Arabidopsis thaliana: one gene and its partner. The protein of the gene in region 1 purifies or fractionates together with the protein of each later gene. This does not show direct contact. Each region holds a gene or a part of one and is shown on either strand. Other genes may lie near its edges. The genes, in order: AT1G72550 and AT4G39280.

Region 1 (16,286 bases):
TATTCCCTGTATACTAACGTATCCTAATATCTATACTATACCTGTATAAAAATTAAATAATTTTGCTTTTTGTGCATCAATTTAGTTGGCTGGATTATATAAACTGGTTCCTAGACTCTTGTATAGAGCAGTGTCTGAATATACTGCACGAGACCTCATTGCCTTGTGTTTACGTCTGTTCCTTCGACCTGCTCGGTGTCGTGGGAAGACTTTTGCGTCCTTCTCTGTTTCCTCTTTTACGACTTTGACATCATCCTTACATTTGATCTCATGAACTTCACTTACACCTGCTACTGGAACAATGTACACAAACGGTCCGTTTTGGATATCTTTGAGGTCTAGAATAGGCTCTAGGGTTTTAACCACAGTGGTCATAGTTGGTCGTGACTTAGGGTTGTGGCTCAGGCACTGGTAAGCCAAAGCAGCTGCCTTTCTGATGCCTTCTACCGAGTATTTCCCTTCGAGACTCGGGTCTATGATCCGTTCAAGCTTGTTGGGATCCTTTAACATGGGTCTTGCCCATTCCACTAGGTTCCTCCCTCTCTGTGCCCGGTACTTCTCCACTGCCTTTCTAGCTGTTAGCATCTCCAAAAGCACCACCCCAAAACTGAACACGTCACTCATTGTCGTCAGATTACCTGAAATTCACCAAGAAAACATGTAAGCTAATAATGCACCGGCTTTATGACAAGTAGCCTTATTGTTATGTTCTTTAACCTGCTGAGATGTATTCTGGAGCTGCATATCCTTCTGTGCCCATTACACTTTTGGTAAAGTTTGAGTCTTCTTCCTCTGATCCATCTGTGGCTAAGCCGAAATCTGAAAGCTTAGAGCTGAAGTCCTGAAAGTTTTAGATATTGAGATTTTAAGTTATTTGACATGATAACAGATATATGGAAATGCAAAATAGGCACCGAAGCATTCGAATTACCGAGCTCAAGAGGATGTTGGAAGGCTTAAAATCTCTGTATATGACAGGTTTCTCTTGTTTGTGAAGGAACTCAAGGCCTTTCGCAGCACCTAGAAGAATCTTCACTCTTGTTAACCAAGGCAAGGCTCCACCATACTCTGCATTGCACCAAACAGTACTCATATTGTTAGTAATCTGCATCTCTATAACAATCATTTTTGGACCTTTTGTATGGTTTTGGTCTTTTAACCAACTCACTTTGAAATAAATGGTCTTCCAGATTGCCTCGTTCCATGTACTCGTATACTAGAAGCCTCTCATCATCCTCACAGCAGTATCCGACCAAATTTACCAGATGTGGATGCTTCAACTGACCAAGGATTATAACTTCAGCCTGCAGAATCTCGAAGAAACGTTTACTATTAGTTTTATGGTTCCATTCTTATATAAGCTGCTATATAATTCTTGAAATGTGATTCATTGATATGCAGATGGAGAAGAAATCATTACCAGCCACTCTCTATGGCCTTGTCCACCTTCTCGTTTCAAAGCCTTAACAGCAACAGGCTGATCTTTCAAACCAGTCTTGAGGCTATCATCAACGAAACCTTTGTAGACTTCCCCGAAACCTCCTTCACCGAGGAAATTATACTTTGAGAAGCCTTGTGTGATCGTTTTGAGCTCTTCGTAGGTGAATATGTGAATGTTTATGAAGAAAGAGTTTGAGAAGTCGTTGAGTGAGATGGTTGAATTGCTGAAATCGGACATGTAGACTCTGCTTGGAACAGAGGTTTGTCTGGAGAGAAGAAGAAGTTTTTCCTTTGGTGGGTTTGTTGTTGTAGTCTTCTTCTGGTTTGTGTTATTGATGCAGCTTATGGGAAGACATATATTCTTCCAAGAAAATCTCATTGGTTTCATCTGAAACTGAAAGAATCTCTCTGTGTTTGTTTTCTTTCACAAGATTTTGTCTATATTTGATTAATGGTTTTTATTTTATTTTTCTGAATGAATGAACATATAGAGATTATATATGGAAACTTCTTTGAAAAAAGGGTTAGTGAGAAATTGGAGAGAGAGAGAAAGAGAGAGGTGATAGATTGGTGAAGACTCCAAAAAGTAAGTCTGCAGTCTTATAAAGCCATCAAAGATGGCATTTGCCACTAAGCATATAATCAAATGAAAAATGTTTTGGTTAGTTATAATATAGTTTCGTAATAATTTCTAAGAAGAAGATAGGTAAAATGTGTTATTATAACGTGAACTAGACAATTCCAGATACATATTTGGATCTATTAGAAAAATCTTTGACTATCTCAAGCCATCTCATACTTTTTTGCTTACTGTACTATATCATACACTTGTAAGTTGTTAATGAATTGGTTATATATATAGCATATATTCATTTTCTTCTAGAAGACATGGTTGCTTCTGCTAAATATATTATGTTAGTTCTGTCAAAAATAATATTAATCAAGAGGTTGGATTAATTTAACAAACAAAATAATAAAGAGGTTAGATTATTTTTTTCTCTTTGTGAAGTTAGAATGTGATCCCAATACCTTTGGCCACACCATTGACTTGAGACAACGGTATCCTTTGTTTTCTTCGTTAGGCTGAGTTGTTAAAAGAAAATACAACTTTTAATATATAAAACTCAGTCAATTATATTTTATTTTTTCTCCTACAATTGTGATTAAAGAAAAAGAAATTGTAATTAGTATATTCACAATTTGTAGAAATTTCATCTGATATTGATCTACCATTTTTGTTTAAATTGTTTTGGAGATTAAAATAATTCAAGGTTTTTTTCATTTAGTTGAGAATTCCACTAATTTTGTATAATGAAATTATAATTCCACTAAATCTTCTCGTGGCGAGTCACAAAAAAGACATGTTGCATGCGCAAGAAAATTTAGTTCGAATTTGTTTTGTATTATTTGTTTTGAATAAATTCTACGTGGTAGCCGTATGACGGTATGAGATGGTGCACACATAGTTTTTCAATAAAATAGTAGTTAAATACGAAGAGAAGGGAGATTTTCGATTATCGTTAAGGTCAATTTGTTCATTATCATCAATTTTACTTTTCAACATTTTAAAGTATTTTGAGAGCGACATGGCAACAAACTTTCTTGCCAAATATTTTAACCTCAATTGACAAATTCGTTTGTCTATTTTTTATTTAAAATCTTAACGTAGTCTCTCCTTTTTCTTTAATCCCATAAAAATAGTATCGAAGAGCTTTTTTTTTGAGGAATCTGATTTTAAGGAGATTTGAAAGCTCTATATTAAAAGTTACGTAGCTTTTCATTATATTTTATTGGCAAAAAGTTTGGCAATCGTTAATAGTTTAACGAGAAAGTGATACATCCTATAGTGATGATCTAAGTCGGCTCAAACAAACTCGCCTGCGGTAAGAAGGGATGAAGGGGGTCACATGACCCCTATAATTTTTATATATTAGTTATTTTTAATGTAATTTGATTGAATTTGAGAAAATATTTGGTTAAAATTAGTGTTTGACCCCTATAAAATTTTGTTCTAACTTCCAAATGACCCCTTTAGTTCATATAATTTGGGATATTGAGGATTGAGTCTCTCATTGCTGAATTTGCATTTACGTAGAAGTTTCGAGTCAAAATTGTTGTACATGTGACCACTTTTGACTGTTAGATTCCGATTTAGATATATACTTGCGAGTTTTTTTTACTAACTTTCTGCCAAAAGACATGCTCATCTCCGGATTAGTGGGATTGTCCTTCTAATATATAAGAAAATGGGCTAAAACAAAGATGTGTTAGTACAGTCCAGTGACACAATTAGCACGTGGTGATGTGAAGTAGAAAGACAATTCTCCAAATTTTCACATTTTTAGTCAGTTAAATCTTTGTATCAGATTAGCATTATACGTACTCAGATATTCATCAACTTCTTCTAGAGAATAGCCAACTATGTTATTTTAATTGTTGTTGTTTTATCCAATGATGCAAAATATAGTTGAAATTGAACCGAACTGATAACTTGGTTGGTTTAACTAATTTTGACTTGGAATATCAAGTTGCACTAGACTTCATCATTACAGAAATATATTTTGAATTTGAATGAGAATAATATGAATGAGATCAATGCATTCAATTCAATCAAATCGGCTTAGTGGTGATAGAAAGTTTAAAAAACGAAGGAATGGATGAAAATATATCATATAAAGTGTATTAGAATTTGAATTAATGTAAAAAAACTTTTGACTTCTAGCTAGTTTTCCTTTTCTTACCATACGAAAGAACCAAATGAAGAAAAATTTGTTTATAAAAAGATCAAGAAACGAAAAAAGAGAGAAATGTAATCATGATTTCAGGTGTTTTCAATATATATATATAAAAGAATTTTGGATCCGAATTTTGAGTATATTTGAAAAAAGGAACATACATAAAGATATAAAAATTGTGGCAGCCGCGGAGTGTGGCATCATCAGAGGTTGCTTTTGACCTTGGTCCATTTCTCATCGATATTTTATTAGGGTCAAGATAATTAATTAATCACGTGTATTATGATGTACTTTGCTTGAATATATAATAAACACTATAATCGAAAGAATGAAACTCGTTAAGTTCCTAAAAATAAACCAGTCGTTGAGTCCCTTTCTGGTTTACACATATATCCTCATACACACACATACAAGTGCGGAGTGCCACAATAGTCTTCTACGCCTCATTTTCATTATTCAACGTCACTTTAAAATCAAACTACTTCAAAGTTCATAAAATAGAACAACTAGAAAGACTTGAGGATTTAAAAGGATAGGCCACTTTTGTAGGGTTTAGAGTTATAAATTTAAGGTTTATTGAGAAAACTTAGGATTTAGAGTTTGTTTAGTGTTTAGATTCGTTCTTAGTTTCTAAGAATCTAGATTATTTGGCTATAAAAATTAGGCATGTTATCCCTTGTAAAAAAAAATTTGCTGTCAGTTAAGAAACTAAACAAATTCTAAATGAAAATTACAATCGAATTGAAAATAAAAGCTGGATCTTACAAATGGGGTAAAAAACAGCAGAGCAGTTAAATATTTGTAGTAATTCTCTCGACATGCGTGTTCTAGATCCTCTAACCAAACAAAATCAACAACTTCAAATAATCCAGATAACGATATTGCACAAAGAGAAGAAAACATTTTGGTTGGTTTCTTTTTCTATAAGATAGCTTCGATGTCTAACTCCAAGTAAGAGCATGGATCAGGGATGTCAAAGTTGTTCAAAACCTGATGGAAACAAAAGAAAAGAAAAACGATTTGAAAAATTATTGCAGCTATTTGGATCAAGCAAGGAGACTTAAATGAGTGATACCTCAGGATGCACGATTCCAAAGTTACCAATATGTTTCCCTCTGACAATGATGCTAGCTTGCCTGCCCGGTAGAAACTCGGGTTCCTTTTGCAGAACGCAAAAGAGAGATAGATTAGGATCTTGAGTTAGTCGATAATGAAAAATCTTAAGATGCTTGCAGATCGAAAGGAGAGCTTACTTGGGAGAGCTTTACATAGTATCCGTCTTTTTCATTGATTGGTACGTTATTTTCATGGATTGTTAGAAATGGTATTGCCATCACTTCCATGATCCTATCGACCAGGCCATGGATAAGCTGAATCAAGAATTATACAGAGAAAGCATATCAATTGATGAAGTTGCGCAAACTTGAGAAAATAAGTTACATAACGACGATATCATAGTTAGCAAATGAAATCCATACCTCAAATCCAGAAGTAGCACCACAGTATAGTGCAGCGAGATGGCGACGATTGGATGCACCAACGTCTTTGCTCTCATCCAACATGACCACATCACTGATTTCAAAAATCTTTAACAGAAAGAAAAAGATTTATCATTCACGGGACACTAAAATCTCAAATCTAGCTAACGGCACCAGAGATATGGGTTTACCTTAATTGGTTTAGGGTATTTATTGTTGTGACCAACTGTCTTCAATAATCCGGGCATGAGAGCCCTCCTCATGGCCTATTTCAACATATAATGAAACAATTAGCAAAGCATTACCATTGGAAAAGTTTACAAAGAGATGACCAAATTATTTGAAAGGAACCTCAAAATCAGCAGACCGCGGGTTCCCAACTATGACGGCTGAATTAACATCCTCTCTATTTAGCATCGCAAAGTTTTCCTTATGTGAGCATAGTAGCCACGTTACCACCTCCGTGTACACACACATCGCAATCTAAATTCAAAATATAAAATAGATAATTTCCCTGAGAAACAAATGCTTAAAAGTAATTTAACAAGAAACACAGACACAGATCTCTGTGAGCTGATGCAACAGTTAAATGGAAGTGCAAATACCTCTATTCTTAGAAGATCAGTGAGCTCATTCAAAGTCAGTGGTTTTATCGAAGCAGGCTTTCTTGTTGGAATGTTATTGAAACCATAGGCAATGGCAACATCCTGGTGAAATACAAGCAAAATGATTAGTTATATGGAGAATCATCATAATGGCATTATGTCACCAACACAGAAGGGTTTTAGCTATGAAAATATACCTCCATAACATCACAAGGGTGGAGAACGTCGCTCCTGCTGGGGGGTACATGTACTTTGATGGCACACTGGTTATCACTAGATTTTGCTTGCTCAGCTTGCAGCTGCATTCGGGTCAGCAGACTTGTAACCTGAAAGGTACAAAATCCATTTCACATAACAAATGATTAAAATCATTGCACAGTAGCCTCTAAAATCGACATCTCAAATAAGAAAATGAGGCTGGTTCAACCATTACAAATTGACAACAGTGATGTCTTTATTACCTGTTCCACCTTTAAAGAGACTCCAATTGAGTCTGTAATGAAAGAGAGAGGAACTTCCATATCATAGACAGCTAAATCCGGATAGATGTATGACTTTCCATCGTCGTATGTAACTTCAACAGGCTCAATCTCAAATTTTCTGGCACAAAATTCTGAGAAGGTTGTAACCTGGAAAACGTTAAATGATTAGTTAGCTATTGATCAGTTAGCACTGTAGGTTTGATTTGTTAACAACATACCATTGTATTCAAAACAATCTTGGCCTTCGTCAAATCAGTTGCAGTACATTCAATGAAGACATTCTTTGTCTGTAAGGTAATTGCTGAATGTGCACCATTGATAATAGGTGGCAATGACAGCACAGTTCTGCAAAAGTGAGCTTTCATTATGTTTCAGTACGTAATTCATTTATAGTAGGAAAATTATTGATTGGTTTATGAAAGTATTTATCATAGATTGATAGACATCTTTACTTCTTCACCCTAGAGGTAAAATGAACAGAAGTAGGAAGAACAAATACCTCTTACTGTCGTATAAAACAGGGAAGACGGGTGAATTCTCGATTATGTGTAGAAACTTTTTCAGCTTCATATCAGACTGCAAACAAAAGTAATCTTTCACACATCAAGGAAAAGCCTTCGGAAAGCCTAAGTAGTTATTCAGCGAGTAAACAATTATTTCATCTCATTCTATACATATCCATAAGTTCGGGGATATCTTTCGTTGATTATTTGCTCCAAAGAAGTTACGATTTCACAAGAGTAACAAATGTCATAACACAATACGAGAAAGTAACAGATTAACTGTTTACCTTGTAGAATTCAATAAGTTCGTCAGCCCTGAAGCTCTTTGTCTGCGACCAAGAAATTGGTATTAGGTACAAACATGAAACAAACTAGATTGTCACTACGAAGAAGTGAGAAATTGTACCAGAAATTAAAAAAAAAGAACATGCTATAACCAAATAACCATTACATTAAAAATCATTTATCTATATAACCGAGGAGAAAGAATGATTCAGAATTTAAACAAAGAAACACAGGCACATGTAACTATTTTGAACAGAGATACTAGTTGATGAACCCATAATGACATTGACTTACTTGCTTCAAAGGTACAAAATTTATATCCGTTGGCGGCAAAGCCTGAAAAATAATATACATAGAGTTAATGAGACACGAAAAAAGCTCAACTAAACAAAAGTGTCAACATAAATCAAAGGAAACAGATTGTATGAAAGTTGGATCAGTATTCTACTTCTTCGAGAGGTAGAGGAAGACTGTAGACACGAAAAAAGAAGAGGAAAGATAATAACAGACAATCACCTCGTATGTGAAAGGACCCTGCAATGTATCAAGGTCATGAGTTCCAATAGCAACCAAGGACCTTCGCCTGAAATGTGTACAGCGTAGCAAAGTTAAATAAATGGAAACCAATTTTTAATCCCAAAATGCAAGCCAACACAATGATGGTAGCTAATAATTGAAATAATACAAGAGAGAAGAAATGGATCCTATAACTAGCAATGTCATTTACCTGCAAATATTCTGATGTAACTTATCCTGAAGATCAATGAAGCTGTTGTAACGAGCCTCGTCAAAGGTTACACCTCTTAAAACAGCACATACAACAAATGGACGAATCTTCGATGTCTACAAAAGGAGAAAAGTTTCAATAAAGAAGGAACCAAATCAGAAGATACTTGCTATGACAGAAACACACACACCTCAGGTTTAACATTCATTTGAAGGATCTTGTCTTTGCTAATGTCAGCAAGAGTATACGTTGGTATCTCCTGTTTCTCGATGAAAACGCGAAGAGATTGAGCAAGCCCTTCGAGGCAAAGCAAATCAGGTCTGCAATTAGAGATATAAACAAAATACCGAATCAATTTCCTAATACTTAAACAATTCCTTAATCTAGAAGAAGAAAAGTCACAGTTTATAAACCTGTTGGCAGGAATTTCAATCTTGTAGATGATTTCTTCATCATCATCAGCTTCTTCATCGATGTGCTTCTCTTTTCTGATTATTGCCTTTTCAGTAGTCTGTTTCATTGATATACGATGCAAAACCTTAATCAGGATTTGAAAAAAGAATCAAATCACAAAAGCAGATCAAAATGAAGTCACTCACCACATCGTCAAGCTCGATACCGAAACTGAAACACAGTTCCTCGAATTTTTCCTGAGCTGCATTACAAAGAGGATAAGACGAAATTAGAAAACACACACTATGAAATCAGAGAAAGAAAGAAGAAGGAGAAGAAGAAATTGAATTACTATAGGATTCTCCAAGAGCAGCGAACAAACGGTCTCTGCCAACACTGATGGTTGGCATATTCTCAGATTCTTCGTGAAATTAGCAGAAAGACAGAGATAGAGAGATGACGTCTTCTTCTTCTGAGTGTGTGTGCAGATTTTGGAACTAGGGTTTCAAGAAGAAGTAGATGACGATTTTTCACCGTTACAATATATAAATATAACCCTCTTTTATTTTTTAAGGGTTATTGTTGATTTTGCTATTTTTCATATAAAATTTTGGAAATTGCTATTTTTATTAAAATTTTACGGATATGACACTTTTTAACACTTAAAAACATATAGATTTCAGATTTTTTGGGTAAAAATACGTAGTTTACACAAAATATTAAATTATCTATCAATGCCATCCCGAAATATAACAAATTCATTGTTTCGATCTCTTTTATCTTAGTTTTTTTTAACCTCTTTTTATTTTCTTTGCCACTTCAATTGTCAAAAGAACAATCTGTGTTTGGTGTCTCAAAATAAGTTAGAAAATAAGAGGAGACCTCAATATCGAAAAATAATACAATTTCATATTAATTAAATGAATAAAATAGGAAAACAAAATTCAGCCAAAATTGTTTTGTGTGTCTGTCTTTTATGATCTCTCATAGTTTTTTTCTAAAGTATTTTCATGGACAAAGAAAAACAGAAAACATCGACTGCAGAGAGTTATAAGACCATCAAAACTTGGAGATAGGACCAAAAAAGGAAGGGCTTTATAGACACAATCTCACAACAAAGCGCAATAAGAAATAACAGCTGATCTGCCTCAGAGTGTGTGTGTGCACTGGAACAACTTGTAAGGCCCTTGGTTCGAGTCGGAGAACATGATTATGTGTAAGAAGATACAACTGCAGATTTGAGAAGAACCAACATCAACAACAGTATGAATCTCTCTCAAGCTTTTGATCTAATTTGATCTGGATGGTGAAAGCGAACCTTGTTGCCACCTCTCAAGTAGACATTGACAAATACTATTTACATCTGGAGAAGCCTGTAAAGAGATGAACATTATATTAAGCACATGACTTCAAACCTGTCATGTACAAAAATTGAGGAAGAGAGCTTTCTTGGTAAAACCATTAGAGCTCGTAGCGGAATTGACCTGAGAGACCTTTCTTTCTATGAAACTAGCTGTATTTCGAATGCTATCTGAAAACGTGACTCCCGTTTTGTTGAAGCCGGAGATTTTCTATAAGGGACTGGTAGTATGACTTGAGGCTTCGGATATCATTGCCCTGGAATACCAAACACGGAAAGGAGAGACTATGTTTAAGCACAAGACGAGATAATTTTTTATCTACTTATGGTCGTTTTGAGGGAGTAAAACTTAACAAACCTGCAACTTTTGGCAATACTGCTCCGCCAAATCTTGTGGAATATGTGCTGATGGGAAACTTTTCGACATAAGATGCATGAGAAACGTATTACCAAATTTTTCATACATTACTTTCTGAGCCGTGATGATTTCCCCGAACAATGCGTGCTGCGATGCATAGCGAAGGAAGAAACCCAGTCAGTTGTGGAAACAATTCAGAAGTTTATACAACTGCAACGGACAGATAAAACTCCAAAATGAAAAGAGAATTGAAGTTTCTTAAGCTTACCGTATTTGCATCACTGAAATTGAAGGATTTATCTAGCACACTGTACAAACAACAGTTTGTTGCAAACGCTTCGATCACGAAATTCTGAAAACCTGGAACCTGAAAGCAAAAATAGTTCTTGATTATGACATTTGTCCTTCTTTCATGAAGAAAAGAAGGTTAATAAAAATTATTTAACAAGCCTACCTTCTCCTCGCTATATGGCTCGGCACACCAATCTTTAATAAGCTTTATAAATATCTGCACGCACGCCTATTTTTATGGCAAAGAGTAAAACAAGTGGATAATAAGTAAGCGAAAAAGATCATCAAAATTAAATGAATATGCAACCAAAGGGAAAGTGTTACAAACCTTACGTACGGTAATATCCTTGTGATTACAAGAAGTATTCAAAACCAGCTGCATCATAGGATCTAGATACGCCCTACTTTTCGGCGTAAGAAATACAGAAGAAAGATCGTGTGTGGCTATAACATGAAGAAATGTATACAGCATCCTTTGAAGCTCTATCAGTTCCCTCATTTCCTACACCAAAAAAAAAAGGATATATGACTGGATGTAAAGGATGCTACGATATCAGCAGGTTCTCAAGTTACAATTGCAGATCATAAAATTGAGTTAAGAAAGAAAATCAAACGAAATACCTCAGTAACAGCCCCAGGGCGTGAAGGGAGCCCATCTCTTGGAATTACATTGAAAATCCTAACAGCAACCACGGGATATACTTCTTCCAGTATATCATGGAGAGCGCTGTTGAATTTGCAGATAAGCTGATTGAGTAATACCATGAAACCAACCATTTCCTTTGGCTGCAACAATACACATACACAGTAAGACTTTTTGTTGAAGAAGTAATCAAATTAGTGTGCAGCATCATTGCCCGAAATGACGTATCTTGATTAGTAGATATTACTCCCAGGTAAGTAAGTGAATCGTAGGAGATCAACTTAATATTAATTAAAGGAAATGAAAGCAGTGGAGCATTGAATAATAAGGGGAGGTTTGAAATTTTCGTTTTACCTCACTGTCAGCAAGTAGCTGTTCCAAAGCCTTGGGAAGATAAGGGAACACAGCGGATCCAAGGGTATCAACCATACGGTGTATGAATGATGTGACCTACAGAAAAGGGGAACAAGCTAATCACTGACCTGTGAATCAATAACTTAATGGAAAAGAATATGCAACACTACTGATTACAATATGTCTACTTAATAAAATACAACTAAACTCATACCTTACTCCGCAAAGGCTCGACCTTTGGAAATTCAATTAGCACCCTTAGAAGAACATCCAGTGTCTACATTACGGAGAAGGTTACCAATGGTCAGTAAAGAGTAAATACAGAGCAGTTTCAATTAGGGCAGAGAATTACAGTCAACAACTGAAGTTGCAAAAAGTACAAAAGCATTGAAAGACAGGTTGCAAAGCAATACATGATTCATAAGAGGGAAAAGACCATCTTGTTTACAAACCTGCTTAAACATGAGACCAATTCCAGGACGACTAGCAGTAACAAGACGTTCGTTGAAGCCCTGAATTGCAAGCAAAAGTGTAAGGACAAGCCCAGAAGAGGGTAAAATTTGAAGTACCAAGTAACAAATCTCACGTGCAGAAACTAGAATAAACGAACACAAACCTTGCTGAGCGCATTAATTGCCACAATAGCAAATTGGATATTTGCAATTTTCACAGGAAAGTCTTCGGAACTTGCAACTTTTGCCTGCACAAGTCCTGCCTCAATCTGGTACAATCATATCACATGGAAAGAGTGTGAGTACACCTGACCATAATTATTGCCAAAAAGTTTCATGAACAAGAGAATGGTAGAAACGAAAACCTGTTGACAGAGAGGGGTAAGCAGTAAAGACAAATAATCTGACTGCTTTTCAGCCGGGACATCCTCCAACCCTATGATTATGCCAATAGCCTACAGAAAAACGCATTAGGAGTTGAGAGATTTTTTTTAGAGTACTGAAAAAATTTCCTTTTTTCCAAGCAGAAGTACATATATGAAAACAGCAGCTTCAAGTGGTAGTCAAACCTCAAAAATGTGACTGCCATCTTCAGTTCCAGTAAGTTCTCTTGATGCAAAGTTCATAGTCGTCAACTGGGACAACGTATCTTGAAGGTTCTGATTTTTCATAAAAAGATAGTTAGACAAAAAAATTAAACAAGAAAATACATCGGATATACAAAAATGGATAACTAGCCTTCAGATCAAACGAGCTGTAGATAAGAGAAAATGAAAATCAAACCCTTACCTGCAAGATCTTGTCAATGAATGGTACAAGCTTTGATTTTAACAATTTCACGACTCTCATGAACAAGTAACCAGCTCTACGGCTCACATAGAAATTCTGGTGATGCAAACCCCTATCATCAAGGAAAGCACCAAGAACATTGGGAATGTACTGGGAGTTTTCCTGAATAAACTTCATGTACCTTGTTATGTTTTCTAAGTACACTAGTGCAACAAGTCTATGTGAATGACCAGGGAACTGTGTGGTCAAGAGCATCGGAATTAGTTCACTCAAACACCCAGATCCTGTTTTCATGGCCTCCTCGGTCATAGACTCTCCGAATGAATACAAAAGCGAGAGCGCAGCTTCCACTTCTTCAACATTGCTCTCCGATGAAGATTCAACAGCATTTGCTAGTGAGTTACGAATGAAATGCTGAGTAACTTCAGGAGCAACACGGCCCACTGTACGTAATAAGACAAAGAGATCTTTTCTAAACTCGGACATTCTATCTTCCTCCTCCAATCCAGTTTTATCCAGTGAATTAAGGTTATTACGATACATAGGATCATAGCAAATCTGAATTCTTATCACTTCGAGAATCTGTGTAATGTGGAGCAGCTGCTTCTCCTTCAATGCAGGGAGGCCTTTGAGAGTGGAAACATAACCCAGGAGAAACTGGACGATGCTAAAAGTAGAATCCACCTCACACTTCTGCATGACATAAAAAACTGATGGCAGAACTTCGTTCAGCAAATCCATGGAGACTGCCTTGGTGTCCTCTGAGTTCAAACGCTTATGGCATTCTAGAACCTCAACAGCATAGCCAGTAAGCAAAGCAGATACTTTTGATACCAAATCGGAATCAACATCTCCGGATACTAAACCAAAAACACGACTGATTTGAAGGGTCTGCAAAAGGGGCAGTTTTGACTGGGGATCCATCCGCTTAGAAACCATGGCTAAGACACACCCAGCTGCTGCACCGCGGACTTGTTCAGACAATCCATCAGACAAAATCAATTCAAACAGCAGTGGAACAAATGCATCATTGGCAACCAAACCAATGTCAATCCAAGATACAAATCTTCTCATGCAATCTAACACAGTAGCAGAAAGATCAGGATCGGAATTCTTGTACATCGATACAATGTCATACCATGCTCTGGCTATCTGAGGGACACATTGTTGCCTCATTGCATCCTTGACTCGAGCAGCAACAGATATCTCTTCTGGTGTCCGGGGGTAATCCAAGCTAATCAACTCATCGTCCAAGGCATTCAAAACCCGACAAAACATGTCGATCACAACAGCACCTTTGCACAAATGAAGCATGAAATCAAGAAACACCGAGGACCAAATCAAAGGGTACTCATAATAGATCAAAGTAGCCAAAACCTGTGCAAGCTTGTTTTTAACAAAAGGAGGTCCTTCCACAACTCTACCAGCATTCTCATTATCAATAACCTCCAAACAAGCCATTGAAAACACTGATTTCCTCACATAACTCTGCTCATCCAAGCTCATAGATCCATATTTAACCCTTAAAACATCCTGAAGCGTTTGCAAACACCAGAACTGAACTTGGACAAGCTTAGAAAACCATAACTTCTCAATACATATACTACAAATAGAAGGAGTCTCTTTGATTTGCTGACAATAAGTAACAGCTTGAGACTTTAAAGCCGAATCAACAGCACCAGTTTCAAAGCTAATTACTATTGCCTGTTCAAGGTCATCCATTGTGTTAACTTAACCCCACTACAAAAACCCTAAAAACCGAGATTTCAAAATCCAGTCCTGGTTTGTTGCATACAAGTCAAACAATGCCTTGAATTAGTATCGTCAGCTAGCTTCTCTCCTTCACTGTTCTCTTCCCTTATCAGATTTTGATGCGAAGAAGAAAAAGACGAAACTTTTAGTGGGTTTCGCTTGAGAGCTTACCAGAAAGTAAGGATCGTGGCGATTTTAGCGATCGGATTTATGAGAGTGGGAGATATAGTAGAAAAGGGATTATGGAAACCCTAGTTTGGGTTTCTCTTTGAATTCAAAGAATACTTTTTTTTGGTGAGTTTCTAGAAAATTTCCCTTACGGATTTATAAATATGAGGAAAATTGTGAGACTGGAGAGAAGACGGAGCTGTAGGGTTTTTTTTTTTTTATACACAGATTTTTATTAGCTTGCAGAATATTTTCCCAGAGAACTATAAATATTATTGCCAGCGAATTGAAAATTAACCGTCATCTGAATTCAGTAAATCAGCCCATGGGCTTGAATCTCTCTCACCTTAGGCCTTAGGTGTTGCATACTGATAGATTAAGATAGACATGTATAAATGTTTTGTGAGTTAGCAAATATAATGGTGTTTTTTCACTTTCTTAATCTAATGTTTTATAAAACAAATTGTCACATTAATACATATAACTAAACTACTTACTGTGAAATTATTCATGGAGACAACTTCTGTAGCTAAGACCTCTCGATTTTTATTTTGTATACTACAAACTAGGTAATTGTAAGAAAAGGTTTGTTCTGTAATGGCATTGTCGATTACCTCGTAGAAGAGGTTGGAATATTTCCGATGCCCGTAGCAAGATATAAAATCACAAATTCATTTTTCAGTTGTTAAAGAAAACAATTGTGGCTTTTTGTGTAGAACGACATTTCGTTATGTGGGTGGCGAGTATGGACAAACTACCCACTAAGTCTTGGTTAACAGCTTGGAACACAATTTCATTTTCTATCTATAAGCAACATATGCAATATAATCAACCAAATAAGAGAGATCACTTATTCTTTTGTTCTATCATATTTTGTGTGTCTGTTTTCAAAGGTTATACCGTCACATTATCCGCTTCTCACACTTGAGGCAAATTTTATGAGTTAGATAGCATATTGCCAAACACTCCAGCTATATATATCTTTTATCTTTTAGATTGATCTTTGTCTAATCTGCGAAAACAGCAAGATCATTTCAGGCTTCTCCATCACAGTTAGAATCATTTTCAAACGGATCGATTGAATGAGCAATCAAAAACACATTTTTATCGTCTAAGGAGAAATTTCCTTGCAATACTACTAATTTTAGTACAAATTTTGTTTACTTTTAAATTATGTAATGTTCTTTAAGTTTATTAAAAAATATCCCAAATTATATCGAAAGAAAGACATTAATAAAAGAAATGTATTATTGTCTAATTAACATATTTCGAAAGAAACAAAATACTGACTTTTTTAAGCGCTACTGTGTGCTTTTTTTACGGAAAAGTTAATCAAATACCAAAGAACGAAAATTTTCATTGTAGTGTGTCATGTGTATCTCCCATATATATATACGTATACATCGAAAAGATCCGAGGGAGAGTGGGCACAAAACTCTAGAAGTCAGATGCAAGTGTGTGTGAAAGAGAA
Region 2 (16,541 bases), on another chromosome or scaffold:
TAATATAACTGGTTAGAAAGAGATTATTTAAGTATGGGGAGATTACGAGTCAAGAGGATGATATGTGCATAGATGTTGCAGAATGCTTCCTATTTATAAGGTGAGTTTCGGTGGTGCCAGATGTAGCAAATATCTTGCAAAAACGAAGAGAATTTTAAGTCATTGTCTCCATAGTAATCGACTAATGAGCAAAAAGAGAATATCAGCAAGTATTGTGGAGATCAGTATATGATACTTGGCAGAAATATTTCTTCTGTGTTTTTTACTGCTGTGATTACTTTCATGTCTTCTTGATTGAGTTAGAGACGTGTTACCGTCAGAGCAGGTTTTCTCATTCAATTCTAGATTTAAGTCTTCATCTACTTTGGGAAACTCTGGCCTAACGTTATCTCTGATATACATTGACTACAACAGTAAAAATTTGCAAATACATTGGATCTCATTGACTATCATTGTTTCTGATATTAACTAGGTGGAACTTTTCAAGGGTTCACCATGAGCCATATAGCTTCTCTTTAACTAAAGTCCTTGCAGGAAAGTTGGAGATCAAACTTTATTGTTGATTGGACCTCAGGGATACTCTGTCTTGAACATCATATCAAGATACAGAAGTCTCTTTGAAGTTTGGCAACGTTGCTTTTCTTGGTCATCTATATTATTATTTGCATTTTGGTCTTAGATGTCATACTAAATAAATGGTCACTACTTACTTCAATAACTAACATGGTATGATTCATGCGCATTAATTCTTTAACATGCTTACGAGATTTAGTCTATCTTGTGGATGTGCACCAATTTGTGGCCTTGCGAGATATTTCCATTTGTGGAATTGTGGTACAAGTTTTAGGTTTTAAGATATTGATGTTCTGAGAACTCAAGAGACTGCCATGGTTTTGGGATAAACTACTTTACAAGAAAGAAAAGTTCAAACAAGACAAAAGAATCTTAATCATGAGACTGATGGCTCAATATATTCTAGAGGTATAGTTGCTAGTTGCTACGGGATTCTACAAGTAGGCATTTCACGATATATATTCTCATCATTGTTTCCTTCTTACCTAGGTGTTAAAATGGTAAAAAATATACATTTCACTTTCAGCGTCTTGTAATCTCTTGAGCTGTGAGATAATAGTTTATGTCAGAAACATCAGAATTGGTTGTTATGCAATATGGATTCGCTGCATCTTTACTTTTGTGACATGAAAAGTTACATAGGGTAAGATTTGGTGGATTTGATTCCATATCTCCATCTTCAAGTTGCATTTCCTATAGTGAAGGTACCGGCCATTTTATGAAACACGTTGCTTAGCTGGTGATGATTGGTGTAAATTGCCACTGTAGCTTTACAAGAATATGTGGGGAAAAGAAAGGAAAGGGTAAGCATTATATTCCTCAACTAGTGGTAGCTCCTTTTGCAACTTGAGGAACTAAATCCTGATGTAATCTTAAGTTCCTTTGTAGACTTAGCTGTTGTAGCTCAATGAAGATGCTTATTTCTATGGGGTTGCTATAGTAGTTCATAATAACTTTGTTAACAAATGCTAAGTTTGTTTTTTTCTTCCAAGCGGTGCAGACTGTTGTTGTCACTTGGAGAGTGAGTAAACAGAGCATTGCTCAACAAGCCTACACATTTTACAAGAGACAAAAGTACACATATTGTAGCATATCCAAAGTCTCATCTATGTGATTTTATTGTTTGTTTAATAGTCATTTTATGGATTAGGATTTACATTTTTGGTTTGAGCTCATTGGGCTACGTTGACGATGATATCCTTTCACGATAAAAAGATGCCGACAAAAAGAAAAGTAACGGAAGGGGAATATTCGATGAATATCTTGTTGTCTATATATTCTCAGTCAAAAATTTAAACAGAAGATACTAGTATTAAATACCCAATGTCCACATTGGATCGGCGCAAAACTGAGTGACGATCATTTTCGATAAAATAGCACTAATTATTGGTAGGTCAAAAGTTAAAGAACTAATCAATTTCAAACTATAGTAATTATTGATAAGAAAATCATTTGAATCCTTTAGCTGCTGTTCGATTAAATACATGTGTCTAACAAGATAAATTATTTGAGGGAAAATCTCGAATCTGGTTAAAAGGAAACGTTATAAATTTAGTAAACAACACGCGAATTAACATTTCGTTCCAGACAAAGAAGACTTAAACGAAACTGTTTCATCAAAAAAGTAAACCAAACGAACGATAACCAAACCAGAAGTGGTGACACAAAACCAAATCTAAACCAAAAACAGAGCAGCAGCACGCAAACAACTCTATCTTTGATTACCAGCCGCCACCACCGCCTCCGTAACTTCCACCATCACCGCCTCCGTAGCCACCTCCCTCACGGCGTCCACCACCACCGTATCCTCGGCCACCACCGCCTCCACCAGATCCGTAACCTCCGCTACGTCTCTCGTAACCACCACCGCCTCCTCCTGAGTATCCGCCGCCACCGCCTCCTGAGTATCCACCACCGCCTCCGCTGCGGTAACCACCACCGCTTCCACCACGGCCTCCTCCGCCACCGCCGCTACCTCTCGACTGAGCCTCGTTCACGGTGATGACACGTCCATCGAGCTCTTTACCGTTCATCTCTTCAATCGCATCCCTCATGGCTTTCTCGTCCTTGAAGGTGACGAATCCGAATCCCCTTGATCTTCCACTCTCGCGGTCGTTAATGATCTGTAAACAAACAAAATCATACACATCAGCAAAAACAATCGTGGAAGGAATATAAAACAAAGCGATGAATATAAAGCAAAAATCGATCGATCTCCGAGCTCATAGAAGCAGGAAGATGAACGTACCGATGGGACAAATTAAGTAACAGTAACAAAGAACGAGAGAGAACATAGTAACAGTAATCGAATCAAGTAACAGAGAAACAGATCGGAATCAGATCCGTCGAGGATCAGAATCATCGGAATCGGCTCGATCCGGGAGACCGATCTCTCGTGTAACAGACCTTAGAATCGATAACGTCGCCGAACTGTGAGAACGTCCTTTGAAGATCTTCATCATTGGTGGCCCAGGCAAGGCCGCCGACAAAGCACCGGTACTCAACTTCAGACATTTTTTTTTGGGGAAAAGAAGAGAAATTAGGGTTTCAAAATGTAAGAGAGAGACTTATGTGATTTGAGGTGATAAGACGCAGCCTTAATTTATAGAACAGGTGTGACGTAATAACTAGGGTTAAACATGTTTTCTAGGGTTTGCTGAAAGATTTGTTTCAACTTACTCTGATTAAGATGTGTGGTTAATTGGGTTAGTGGTTAGGCCCACATCATGTGAGCATTTTCGATAACTAATGATTTTTTCTCCTCGTTTCGAGCAAAAAATATCTTTGTAAGAATATCTTTTATTCCTTAAATGACAATTTTGTCCTTCGTCTCGTCGTCATTATGTCATACAATAGTTGGGTCTGAGTTTCGTTTATTGGGCCTATCTAATTTAATTGGAAAGATTATAACTTCCGGCCCAATGAATCTGACGGCGAAATTAGTAAAACAATAAAATGAAATAATATGCAAAGACTATGACGATAATGTGCTATGGATTTACATATTTGTTTTGTCATTAATTATGACATGCAATAAATTCATATGAAAAGATTCTTATCGCAATAGCATCGTGGACATGTTACAGTCTGTAATATCCAAACTTTAGCATAGACGTTTTTTGTTGTACAAATATTTTGGTATGTTAAGTGATATTCAAATGAAAGCTAGATGTGCAGATATGTGAACATATAAATCTTTCAATGGAATTCAATTTTCAATCATTGAATATTTGGATACACTCGCTCTGTACTTGAAATATTTTGACTGTCTGAATATTATTTTTTTACAGGATTAATTATTTTGTATACCAAAATTAGACGGATGAAGAATGAAGATGTAGTAGTTATACAAAGTCAATTACAAATGGTTCAGTATCTTGATTTCGATTTTTGTGCTGAAAATGCTGACTAAAGCGTGTAGAAGAGCTTTTTCAACAAGAAATAACCTGGCTAAGATTTTTTTAAGAAATCTGATTATTAATATATCGCAGGTAATATGAAAAAGTATCGTCGACTTTTTATAAGAGTGACAACTAAATCATTTTGCTCATAATAAAGCCACAATTATTATTAGTATATTTTGGTCGTTTTAATACGAGGAAAAATAATTGTCATACAAAATTTACAGAAATGGAGTAGCATCGTAGCTCCTAGGAATTCAATTATTTATTTGCAAAACTACTAAAATGGTGGTTATCATATTAAACGTCAGCAGAAACTTTAAGTATTTTTGAAATGATATTAATTTAAGAGTTCGTTAAGCTGTCTTGGGCGGGATCGTTGAGAGTCAAACTCCTCAAACGACGCCGTATTCAGAACTTCACTTTCAATTACTGTATCTGCGTCTCGGTCACGAGATCGAACCATAAATCTTGGGAACGTGCACGTATACAACGAAAGATCCACCTTCTCTCACTTTTTTTATTTTCTTATACTTTCTTCTCTTTTCTTCGAACGGCCGCTGTTCTTGACCAGTCTGAAGCTTTCTCTGTCCAGAACAGTTCTGTAAGAAGAAGTTTTTATCAAATATTATATAAAAATATCTGTTTCGTATTATATCAGACTTTCCATCTTTCTCTCTCTAAATCTAGGACAAAAAAAAACATGGAAGAGTTAGAGAGAGAGAGAGGCAGCAGAAAATGATTGGTAAACAACAATGAATCGTTTTTGATTCTGAAGTGCACAGAGAAAAGTAATTGCCAGAGAAAGTCGCAGAGGTAACAGAGTGAAGAACCTTTTTTAGTATATATCTTTGTTGAATAATCACAAAAAGAAAGTTTCCTTTATTGATCGGATTCGAAGGAAACCCAAAAAAAAAAGAGATTTGATTATTTCCATAAATCGCGAAGCTTTTTTCCAATTGAATCTTAGGCAATGAATGGCTTTAAGTTTTTCGAAGTACTAGTCGTCACCAGGGTTTAGAGAAACCATGGTGGTTCTGAGGAAGACATCCTTGTTGGTCTTCTTCTTATTCCTCCTCTTGTTGTTAGAGTCAACGTTTGAGCAACAGACAAGTTCTCTGAATGAGAAATCGGCGCTTCTGCTGTTAAGGTCTTCTCTTGGGTTACGAAGCAGAGATTGGCCTGTAAAAGGCAATCCTTGTCTGAACTGGAACGGCATCAAATGTGATCAGAATGGTAGAGTAACTAAGATCAACATTTCAGGGTTCAGAAGGACAAGGATTGGGAATCAAAACCCGGAATTCTCAGTTGGTTCTCTCGTCAATCTCACCCGTCTAGCTTCCTTCAACGCCTCAAGGTTCTATCTTCCAGGTCCAATCCCGGCTTTGTTTGGATCGAGTCTGTTGACTTTAGAGGTGTTGGACCTTAGCTCCTGTTCAATCACAGGAACCATCCCTGAAAGTTTGACTCGGTTATCACATCTCAAAGTTCTTGATCTTTCAAAGAATGCGATCAATGGGGATATTCCTCTGTCTCTTACCTCTCTTCAGAATCTATCAATCCTTGATCTTTCCTCAAACTCGGTGTTTGGTTCGATTCCTGCTAATATTGGGGCACTCTCAAAGCTCCAGCGTCTGAATCTTTCGCGTAACACCTTGACTTCTTCAATACCTCCATCACTCGGAGACCTCTCTGTTTTAATTGACCTTGATCTCAGCTTCAACGGAATGTCAGGTTCGGTTCCATCAGATTTGAAAGGGCTAAGGAACTTGCAGACATTGGTAATTGCGGGAAATCGCCTTTCAGGATCCCTACCTCCTGATCTGTTTAGTTTGCTGAGTAAACTTCAGATCATTGACTTCAGAGGCAGTGGTTTCATAGGCGCTTTACCGTCCAGGTTATGGTCGTTACCGGAGCTCAAGTTTCTAGATATTTCTGGAAATCACTTCTCTGACATGCTGCCTAATACCACTGTCAGTTTTGATTCTACTGTCTCCATGCTTAACATATCCGGGAACATGTTTTACGGCAATCTCACACTTTTACTGACAAGGTTCCAAGTTGTTGACCTGTCAGAAAACTATTTTGAAGGTAAAATTCCTGACTTTGTGCCAACCAGAGCTTCATTGAGCAACAATTGTCTTCAGGGCCCAGAGAAGCAGCGGAAGTTGTCGGATTGCACTTTGTTTTATTCAAAAAAGGGCTTAACTTTCAACAATTTCGGACAACATGAAGAGAAGAAGAGTTCTAAAACTTCCTGGTTAAGCCACACGAAAATAGTTATACTTGCTGCAGTTGGAGGGTCTATATTGCTTATGCTCATTCTCATAGTGTTACCAATAACAGTGAGTTTCTGTGTCCGTCGAAGAAACAGATCATCAACAAGTAATCATCCTAGAGGAAGACACAACGGTGTTGGCCCATTACCTCCTGATGAAACACTTCCCTCAAGAGGAGGAGTCTCTATAAACTTTGGGAGTCTTGGATCATCATTTACCTATCAGCAGTTGCTCAATGCCACCAAGGAGTTCAGTGATTCAAACCTGATCAAGAAAGGACAATCTGGGGATCTTTTCAAGGGAGTTCTAGAAAACGGAGTTCAGATCGTTGTGAAAAGAATCAGCTTGGAATCTACAAAGAACAACGAAGCTTATCTAACCGAGTTGGATTTCTTCAGCCGGTTTGCGCATCCGAGAATAATCCCATTCGTAGGGAAGAGCTTAGAGAGCGCAACTCATAAGTTCTTGGTATACAAGTACATGCTGAATAGGGATTTACCAAGCTCATTGTTCTATAAATCCAATTCCCTAGTTGACAACGGATTGAGATCTCTCGATTGGATCACCAGACTGAAAATAGCATTGGGAGTAGCAGAGGGACTTGCTTACCTGCACCATGATTGCTCACCATCCGTCGTCCACAGGTATGAAAAACCATTCCTTTTACTCTTTTTTTACTTTCAAGCCACCATTAGTTCATTACTGATCTTGAGTCTTCCAATGTTCAATAAGGGATATTCAAGCAAGTAGCATTCTCTTGGATGATAAGTTTGAAGTTAGGCTTGGAAGCTTTAGCAAAGCTTGTCATCAAGAAAACAATGGCCGTCCACGGAAAATAGCCCGATTGCTCAGACTATCCCAGTAAGTGCCTCTGATTCATCATATAACCAATTTTGATTTAAACATCTAACAAACAAGCTTGCTACTGTTTCCCTCTTCAGGTCTTCTCAAGAAAGTGTTCCTGGTGAGTTTATCTTCAAATGCATAAAACAAGCTTGCTAATTTCTTAACTATTCTAACAATCCCTAAAATTCCCAGGGTCTGCAGCTACAGCAACATGTGCCTACGATGTGTACTGCTTCGGCAAGATACTTCTGGAGCTTATCACAGGGAAACTCGGAATCAGCTCATGTAAAGAAACCCAATTCAAAAAAATCCTAACCGAGATCATGCCTTACATTTCATCGCAAGAGAAAGAACCCGTAATGAACATTCTAGACCAATCTCTTCTGGTCGACGAAGACCTCTTAGAAGAAGTCTGGGCAATGGCAATCGTCGCTAGATCTTGTCTTAACCCAAAACCAACGAGACGGCCGCTTATGAGACACATAGTACAAGCCTTGGAGAATCCACTGAGAGTTGTGAGAGAAGACAGCAGCGAATCTGAGAGATTCCGTACGACTGGATCTTCGAGAGGATCTTCGAGTAGCGGTCGAATATTTGGTAGTTGGAGACAGAGCGTGTCTGATCCTGTCGCAGCGGGAACAAGTAGCCTTCTGTCTCAGGCGGAGGGTTTAGCGACTGGATCGTCAGCGAGAGGAAGTAGCCGTGGCGCGTCGAGTCGACGGAGTATGAAAGATGTATAGAAAGAAAGACACACACACACACGATCAATATTTATTTTTTGACGTCAATTTTTAATTATTTTTTATGTGTGGTTATGATTTGATCTCTTGTTGATAAAAAATTCCCGTTAATTTATAATATTTTTCGATGATCAAACCAGACCAGTCTTTTGAGTTTTGATATTCTCGGGTAGCAAACTAGCAATTCGTTTTGTATGGGGTGGGAATCGAAATGTTTTATACTTTGGGGCAATTATATAAAAAACGAAAAGTTTCTGTAATGATGTGTGAATGAGGCTAATAAATGGGCTGCTGTTATCTAACCACGTTGCATCTTTGCACTTAATGGGCCTCTTGGCCCAGTTACTTATTTATTTGATCTAAGTTCTTATTCCTTACATCGTAAATACCACCTCACAAACTTTATACCATACAAAACCAAATGCTAAGTGAAAATTAAATTTGACAAGCCAGATTGCAATTAAGAGTATACACATGTTTAAGATGGAATTGTCAAGTCCAATAACCAAAGGTAGAATTGTAAATACCAAGAGATAATCAAATAAAGTATCTTGAATCAAAAAGATAAATCAAAATATCACTCATATTCCAACTCGGCAGATCGGATTCCGTTTAATAAGATCGAGATCCACCTGCGACAAAATAATGACACATGGATTGAATATATATATTTCCAATAGAACAAAGAAATGTTTACACAAAGTTTTCTTGATAAGTGAAGATTTTGTGCATACCTTGTATATACAAAGAAAGACCGTATGTTTTTTCTAGCCTCTCGTCGAAAGCAATATTGAAAATCTCCTAGAGTGAATCCGAGTACTTGATGTTGTATACCTGAACAACCCACGATCTAAGATGAACACTCAATACATAAATTTTACCTTGTATTATACCCACGGCCGAAGATAGTTTGTGGGCTTCTAGAACCGTCGAACGGAGATGGTTTCTCACATAGTTGGGATAATAAATGGCTTGGAATGTGTTCCACAATTGATTGCATCGATAGTTGAGCCGTTACTCACATATGTTGTTTGAAGTCAGAAAGTGGGACCACCGGTCACAGTACATACATATTTTCAGAGTCACCAAATTTCTTTTCTAACGAAAACCACTAAAACCAGCAATTCCGTAAAGCAACAAAAAATACGTCTTTCTTAACATTTAATTCCGATCGGACTTGATATAAAATTTGAAAAATCTATTTTCGTTGGACGGAGGGAATATTACCTAATTATTATATGTACTGCATCTTAATTATTATTATTATTATTATATATATAGCTTTGTTACATAATCTGTGTTATCTAGATTCAATAATTACAAAAACCAAAACATCACGTAACACCAAATTAATTGAGAAAAAAAATATAAATATAGAAAAAAATAAAAAAAATATATTTAAAAAAATCTCAAGTAAATCATATAAAGCAAAAACAATTACGCCAATGTCGTCGTGCACAATGATGAGTTCACCGCAAATATCCAGCAGTTACAACGTTGTTAATGTTTAAGGAAATTTGATGTTGAGAGCTGCTTGGACCGTATCTCAATACTTATGTATGTGACAATAGATTGGTACCAATGGACATTAGCTACACTAGATTCTATTGGGCCACATTGGCCCATTCCAAACATACGTTTTCTCCCACATGTTAGGTGCTGTTGCGATTGATTCTAAAAATATATGCCATTGGCACAAGTATAGACTATGCATCCTAAATATGTATGCCATTAGTACAAGTACAAACTTTATACCGTACAAAACCAAATGCTAAATGAATATTAAAATTCGACAAGCCAGATTGCAATTAAGAGTGTACACACGTTTAAGATGGAATTGTAAAGTCCAGTAACCAAAGGTAGAATTGAAAATACCAAGAGATAACCAAATAGAGTATCTTGAATCAAAAAGACAATCAAAATATATCACTTAGATTCCAATTCGGCAGATCGGATTCCGTTTAATAAGATCGAGATCCACCTGGGACAGAATAATGACACATTGATTGAGTATATACATCAACAGAACAAGGAAATGTTTATAGAAAGATATCAGAATAAATTAATATCTTTGTGCTTACCTTGTGTCCAAACAAATCTCGGATGTTGTCGATACCGTATAATATCATTGTTGGTCTGTTTAACGAACAAAAAGCAAGAAAGAATCAGCAACGACCCTGAGATGTTGAAGGGAATTAAAAACTCGTACCTTTCAAGAGAGAGACCCCAAGCGATGACTCTAACATCCTCGGGGAGACCCATCGGTAGAAGCATTTCGGGTCTGAACATCCCAGAGTTTCCAATCTCCACCCACTTCCCTAAACCTTCATGGTAGCTGACATCCAGGAACAGGCAAAGTTTAACTTTTTCTCTCTATTCTTACGCAATTTAGATGACTATATTTTTTTACCAATTACCTGAAAATCTCCATGCTTGGCTCTGTGTAAGGGTTGTAAGCTGGCTTGAAACGCAATTTCGACATCCCTGAAAAGTATGATCCCGTAAAGAGTTAGTATTTCTCTCTTGAGCCTAAGCGAACCAAAGTTAAGATTCAATAGCGAAGAGTTTACCTAAGCGTGAGAAGAAGTCTTCTAATACACCAATCAGGTCTCCAAGTGTAAGGCCCCGATCACATATCAAACCTGATCCAAACATGAGATCATTTAACCGATTATGAATAAAGTTTGACAGAAGATTATGCTAACTTTAATATAACTCCCCACAGTGACAACTCTGACCATTAGAACTATACCTTCAATTTGATGGAACTCTGCAAGGTGGGTCCGATCAACAGCCTCGTTTCTGAAGACACGGTCAATCGAAAAGTACTTCTTGGGCACAAAAGGTTTCTACAGTAAGATATAAATCTAATTATACTACTGAATTTTGGAAACCAACGTCTCAAAACCTGTAAGCTAAAGTCTAGTTGAACCTGTGCTAGTGCATAAAGCATCCTAGATGAGACAGCCGTTGTGTGGGTACGAAGAAGATTCTTGTTTGCTTCTTCTCTTTTCCAATCATAATTATACCTTTATTGCAAAAGGCCATGTCAGAGTGATTGCAAATTAATTATTATTTATTCAAGGTGGTAAGAAGATACAAGTCAATTACCCTCTTGATCCATAACCACCAGACTCATGAACACGTTTCACCCTCTCAACATAATCTTCCGGAAGTGTTCTTGTAGTAGAGGGAACTACATTCAAAGATTTACGTCTTAAATGTAAGAGTTATCTATTCTTTGAGATGTCAACAAGCAACCTAGAAATAGCTGTCCTAAACAACAAATTTAGTGACAAAGGATTCAAGATTTGAACCTTTTAGAAAGAAGGTGTCATGAGAATCACGAGCAGGGTGCTGCTGAGGCTGGAACAAAGCATCAAAATTCCAGAAGCTGTAGCGTATATGAATCAGATTAAGATCAGCCAACAAATAGCAAGAAAAGGATGTATAATTAGATATCCTTAAAGCCTCCATGGAAAGCTGAAAACCAAGATTCTTAATAACTAGAGGATACCTGCTCTCCACATAGTTGTTTGTTGGCATCTCCTCAAACCTATGACCACATAAGGCTCACCATTAATTTTAGCAATCAACAGAAAAATGGGGAATTACAATATATGTGAAGAGTTTCTCTCACCCCATCTGAACAAATATGTCTTTAAACTGCTTCCGCACCTAAGGTACAAGAAAAGTAATATAAATAAAAACTATAGAGGTTTGATAAAGAAACAACAAGCTTACACTAAAGGGATACGACAAGTTCATTTTTTGTGTCATGTTACCTTGAGAAGAGCGTGAAGATGCCCAGCGTCAACAGGCGCTCCTTTAGCTTTGAAGTTATACTCCTTAAACTCTAACTCTTTCCAGCTGCAAATATACCAAATTCCTCTCTTAATTGCATATTCAACCTACAATAGCATTAAGAAGTTGAAAAAAAATGCAAGGAATAGGACAAACTTTTGAAGATTTTCTCGAGTCAAATCGGTAGCCACTTTCTTTCTCTCGGGAGCATAATTAGGACCTTTCTTTACGGAATACCCCTTCCATATCCTGAGAAGTAGTAAAGATATCAGCTATTGATAATGATGTCTCTCAATAGGAACGAAACATAAAAGAAAAGTAGAATCAATTACTGTGGTACTATGAGTTTTCTGGCTTTAAGAGAATTGATACTTTCTTTGTCAAATTCCTGAAGGGGAAGAGAGAGTGATGCTCCAAATTAATATGAATCATTAAGGTAAATACAACAGAGGAACTCTCTACTGAAATAACATAGCACAAACCTTCCCTTGTTGTATTTGTAAAAGCTGGCCTTTCACTTTATCTTCTACATCTTTAACCTACAAAAAAATGGTTCAGATTGATGCAGACTAAACAATTGAAATGATTCATACACTACCAAACATCATCCAAAAACGGAGGTAGCAAACAGAAAGTAAAAACAATCTAGCGTTACCTTCCTCGAGACTTGCTTTCCCATTTCCACCCACTTGTTTTTTCCAGCTTGAGAACAGCCGATCTTGAAGACTGCAGGAGCTAACTTTTTCTGAAATAGCACGAATTTTACAGTAGTTGTTTTAGCATATGACTAAACAAATCCCACACTATATACATCTACATATCCATTGCAATCAATAACCTGGAGCTCATCTTTTGATATGCTGCCTTCTTCAGGAACAGCTAAGAAAAGTTGAACCTCTGGTGACCCTTCTGCCGCATATTTCTTCCCTTCATCAGTCAGAATCCATGTCTCCTTTTTAATGTCCTGCAGAGAATAGTCAACCCATGTGACTGACAATGCAAATCTAGTCCACTAAACCTTGTTAATGATAGAGACTTATGGCAAACTGTGAGATTCATCAGTGGCATTCATGGAAAAGTACAAAACTTTCAACCAGATATCAAAACGTCTTACTCTAACACCCTAGACCAATAATCCAAACCCTTTTATCGAAATTCCAGCACGAGTACCTGAACATCGATGTAACGAAAACCATGGAGACTTTTGATGACATTGACGAGTTCGTTGTGGTCGATGTTGAACTCGGCAGAGAATTGACCCGAATCAGTGATCTGTTCATTGTTCTGAAGGAACCCTAGTATCGCCTCTTCCGCCATAAGTAATCTCTTGAAGTGTTTTTTTTTTTTTTTAATCGAAAGAGCTTTGCCCTACTCTTCTATCTCCTCCGGTCAAAAACAGAGAGTGAGTAACGCCGCAGAATAGTATTTGCATTAAATTGGTTTTTAAGGGTTTGACTTTAGAGTGCGTTTTTAATAGTCTCCAATTACTTTTGAAATTGCAACATAGACCCAAATACTTTTAAAAGAAAAATGAAAGCTAAAAATTTTTTCACTATAGTAAAATATGTAAGTTATGGGAGGAAAGCAAACTCCAAACGAGTTAATGAACAAATAAAACCAAATAATAGTCCTTCTTGCACATATCAGTGAATGATCAACTAATTAAACACATGTCTGATAAGCCATTGCATCAAACATCAGGAGCAAGAGCACGCACTAATTGATTTTTCTCATCGGTTATAAAGACAACGTCAGACCACTTAAGCAACCCCCAAATCTCTCCTTGATGTTTTTTTTCAATAACAACTTCTTCACACCAGATTAGTTTCTTCTTAATAGTCACGCACTCCTCCCACAAAAGAACTATGTTTCCTCCATAATTCACCATTTTAACACCTTCACCACGAGGATTCATAATCGACCTGCGCACGAATCCTTTCAAATTTTTCCATATTTTTCTACATGAGTCATACCATTGGAGCATCTCGTAACTATAACGGTAGAACACGTTCTCTATCACACAATTAGAGAAATGAAATCCATGACTTAACGATAAGTGTGGCTCTCTCCATCTACCTTTGTGTATCTCGTAAGTCATGAAAGTTGCACGATTATTTTCTAATGAACTTACGTGGATAGCTTCTTTATACCCTACGATTTTGTAATTAAAACCTCTGCATACCTCTTCGTTAGGAATCTGCAAAAACTCCCATGTTTGGGTCTTCGTATCGAAAACTTCAATCCAATTTGTTGAATCGAGATTCTTGCAGCCTCCTATTACATATATTTTCCCATTAAGGACGCAAGTAGATGGAAAGTCATCACGTGCCACGCGCATGCTTGGAGCCTCACGCCATGTATGAGAACGGCAGTCCATGACCATGACCTTAGACGATGCACTATTATTTAAGTTTCGTCCACCAATAGCATAGATATCAGAACCAACCGCTACAACACCTGATCTGTAGTCAAAAGGAGAATCAAGAGATGATATTGGGACCAAAATTTTGGCGCTGCTACTTATTTTTTGGCGGAGGGTGAAACAAATTTGTCTGTAATCAGTATTCGTACGGAACCGTAAACACACGTAAAGACCACTGCTAGTACAACCTAAGAATGATCTAAGCTCTTGAAGCTCCGTTGAGGCAATGAGAGACCGGAATTTCTTGGAAACGAAGGAAAGGCTAGGGTAATACACTTTGGAAACACGGGCTAAACAGTTTAATACCAAATCATCAGGAAGCATCGAAAACGTCATCTGTGACTCATCTTCCTTCGACATTAACATAATTGTGGGATACGTGAACGAAAGCTTCGTACGTACGTTTTCGCTTCCTCTCGATCTCTAATAATAATCCTAAATCCACTGCCACAAATACAGTATATATGCACAAAAATTAAAACTCGTATCCCTTGGAAAGTGGAAAAAACTAATTTGTATTAAAAAGATTTAATTTACAAACGATATATGACGAAAAAAAAAAGATTTAGTTAACAAATTGTACTGTTACGAATATATAGATTTTATCTAAAACTGATTTACAGGGATGGTAATATTTTATAGTTGACAAAAATAAAAAAAGGATGACATGATAATATTTTCTTATGTTTATTTTTAACGCACAAAAATAAAAACTAGGGAGGGTGTATAATGCATAAATTAAAAGTTAGAGGGCAAATTTGTGCTACTTCTGCAAAACTTAAACGATGCCGTTTGGGTTGTAGGGTTTAGTGCATCCGTGCTCTGTTCACTTGTTCCATTTCGCTGTGTAAGAAAAGAAAAACGAAACTTTCGGTTGTGCGAAATCTTAAGATCAAAGATGGCATCGTTTTGCAGATCAGCGTTAATGGCAGGTTCCAGAAACTTAGTATCAAGATCCAGAACCGTAACTCAAAAGTCCCTCAATCTTAAACCCACAACTACTTCATCTCCTTTCGCTTCAATGTCTCAATCCATCCCTCGCGCTTCGAGGTAACTACTTCACCTTTCAGCTGATTCAAGAAGTTTAACTCATTTTCTCTTATGCTCAACTTTGGAAAAAGGAAATTTAGAGAAAATATTCAGCTCGTTTTAATCAGAAACATTTTATGTGAAGGGTTCTCTCTGCTTTGGGAAGTGTTGAAACGATGATTCCACTTCACAGTGCCGTTGCTTCAGCTCGTCTCCGGTCAAGCATCGCTGCTGATTCCTCTTGTTGGAGCTTGCTTTCTCAGGGTATCTTTTTTCCTCTATTTTTTTGCTGTTTTCTTGCAAATTATCCTTAAATTTGTTGTCTTTTTGGTGGGTTGATTCTGTTTTCTGCTTTATCTGTTGTGCATTTGGAAAGTTTTTGAGAATAAGATTGAAACAGGAGATCAATTTCTTAGTAAGCTTGAATCTCTCTTATGAAATGGGATCACAACTCTTAAAAAGATAGCAAGTATTAGATGATATTCTTGAATAGCAGCATAATTGTGGCAAGAGATTTTTCATTAGTCTACACTCGTTGGATTCAAAGTTTTTTTTTTTAGCTCAAACAATACTGATTAGATGTGAAACTGGATGATATCTGTGAAAGATATGTTTTTTAAGTGTACAAAAGATTGTGGCTTCACTAGATATAGTTTCGACTGGGACAAAGCCTGATAAAGATCAAAACTTTGAAGAAAGGAACTGTTACTTCTCTTATACAATCATGTCTTGTTGAGATATATGTCTAGTTGGTCTTAGATTATTTAGTTGCTCCTTCTGATTTTTCTAAAACTTTGCTTCTTTCTCTGACTTGTGGTTCTTCTACTTAATGCGATAGGACTTGCAACGCCTTTGTGACCCCGGTCTGCTGGATCGATATAAGGCGGAAATAATCAATATATTACAATGAATGAACAAGAATAGTGTTTTTTTTTCTAGTTCGAACTCTATCGTCAATGTATTGTTGTGTGGTTCACAAGGACTTGTTGTTTCAAACTTCTTGCAATCTATCTATTCGATATTTGGATCCACACATTTTGGGGCCTTTTTCCTTCACTAAAGTCAGCATTTGCTTTCTTTTGTTCATGCACATTGTAACGAGGAACCTCTGCATTTTTCAATTTCTGAATCTTGTTCACTGATCCTCTTCCCATTTCTCTCATCTCTTTAGAACTGGGAGTTCCTCGGTGACACCATCATTAGCTTTGGTCTTGGTCTTGAAGCGTCCATGGGTTGATACTTGATATTGTACTGTTTAAGACTACTTGTGACGTTGCCAGCTTCTTAGACCGGTTTTCTCCGGTTTAGGATCAGGTTGTTTCCCAATTTTATGTTATCGTTTAGACTTTAGATCTTTTTTGAGCATGGAAGGGAGTTTAGCATCATTTTTTAAGTATTCTAGCGAATTACATAAGAATTAGTCATTCTAACGAACTTAAAACCCGAC

What was found.
Region 2: the proteins of AT1G72550 (region 1) and AT4G39280 fractionate together in Arabidopsis thaliana (co-fractionation; one large-scale study listed by BioGRID). This does not show direct contact.

Annotation. Positions count from the first base shown.
Region 1 is NC_003070.9:27,314,851-27,331,136, forward strand, and holds AT1G72550 (tRNA synthetase beta subunit family protein), read right to left. Parts: upstream 9,263-16,286; 5' UTR 9,059-9,262; coding exon 9,001-9,058; intron 8,911-9,000; coding exon 8,855-8,910; intron 8,767-8,854; coding exon 8,669-8,766; intron 8,576-8,668; coding exon 8,446-8,575; intron 8,372-8,445; coding exon 8,256-8,371; intron 8,112-8,255; coding exon 8,045-8,111; intron 7,865-8,044; coding exon 7,823-7,864; intron 7,573-7,822; coding exon 7,531-7,572; intron 7,317-7,530; coding exon 7,240-7,316; intron 7,086-7,239; coding exon 6,959-7,085; intron 6,888-6,958; coding exon 6,720-6,887; intron 6,585-6,719; coding exon 6,456-6,584; intron 6,361-6,455; coding exon 6,259-6,360; intron 6,137-6,258; coding exon 6,005-6,136; intron 5,920-6,004; coding exon 5,845-5,919; intron 5,762-5,844; coding exon 5,654-5,761; intron 5,546-5,653; coding exon 5,429-5,545; intron 5,335-5,428; coding exon 5,251-5,334; intron 5,176-5,250; coding exon of another isoform or gene 5,166-5,175; coding exon 5,097-5,165; and 2 more. Other genes in the region: AT1G72540 (Protein kinase superfamily protein), read right to left, coding at 82-638, 718-841, 932-1,068, 1,169-1,304, 1,421-1,819; AT1G72545 (uncharacterized protein), read left to right, coding at 894-967, 998-1,096, 1,402-1,567; PSD (ARM repeat superfamily protein), read right to left, coding at 10,176-10,265, 10,367-10,513, 10,635-10,733, 10,821-10,886, 10,986-11,159, 11,279-11,443, 11,655-11,750, 11,869-11,931 and 5 more.
Region 2 is NC_003075.7:18,271,872-18,288,412, forward strand, and holds AT4G39280 (phenylalanyl-tRNA synthetase, putative / phenylalanine-tRNA ligase), read right to left. Parts: upstream 13,060-16,541; 5' UTR 12,961-13,059; coding exon 12,814-12,960; intron 12,608-12,813; coding exon 12,482-12,607; intron 12,389-12,481; coding exon 12,299-12,388; intron 12,183-12,298; coding exon 12,126-12,182; intron 12,032-12,125; coding exon 11,976-12,031; intron 11,893-11,975; coding exon 11,800-11,892; intron 11,710-11,799; coding exon 11,625-11,709; intron 11,518-11,624; coding exon 11,480-11,517; intron 11,396-11,479; coding exon 11,357-11,395; intron 11,234-11,356; coding exon 11,157-11,233; intron 11,036-11,156; coding exon 10,951-11,035; intron 10,869-10,950; coding exon 10,772-10,868; intron 10,689-10,771; coding exon 10,592-10,688; intron 10,482-10,591; coding exon 10,410-10,481; intron 10,324-10,409; coding exon 10,257-10,323; intron 10,175-10,256; coding exon 10,049-10,174; intron 9,976-10,048; coding exon 9,921-9,975; intron 9,821-9,920; coding exon of another isoform or gene 9,770-9,820; exon of another isoform or gene 9,547-9,769; intron 8,472-9,546; coding exon 8,421-8,471; and 2 more. Other genes in the region: CCR1 (cold, circadian rhythm, and RNA binding 1), read right to left, coding at 2,295-2,696, 2,980-3,087; AT4G39270 (Leucine-rich repeat protein kinase family protein), read left to right, coding at 5,003-6,897, 6,986-7,114, 7,195-7,217, 7,292-7,839; AT4G39290 (Galactose oxidase/kelch repeat superfamily protein), read right to left, coding at 13,334-14,431; AT4G39300 (envelope glycoprotein), read left to right, coding at 14,964-15,115, 15,240-15,358, 15,933-15,952.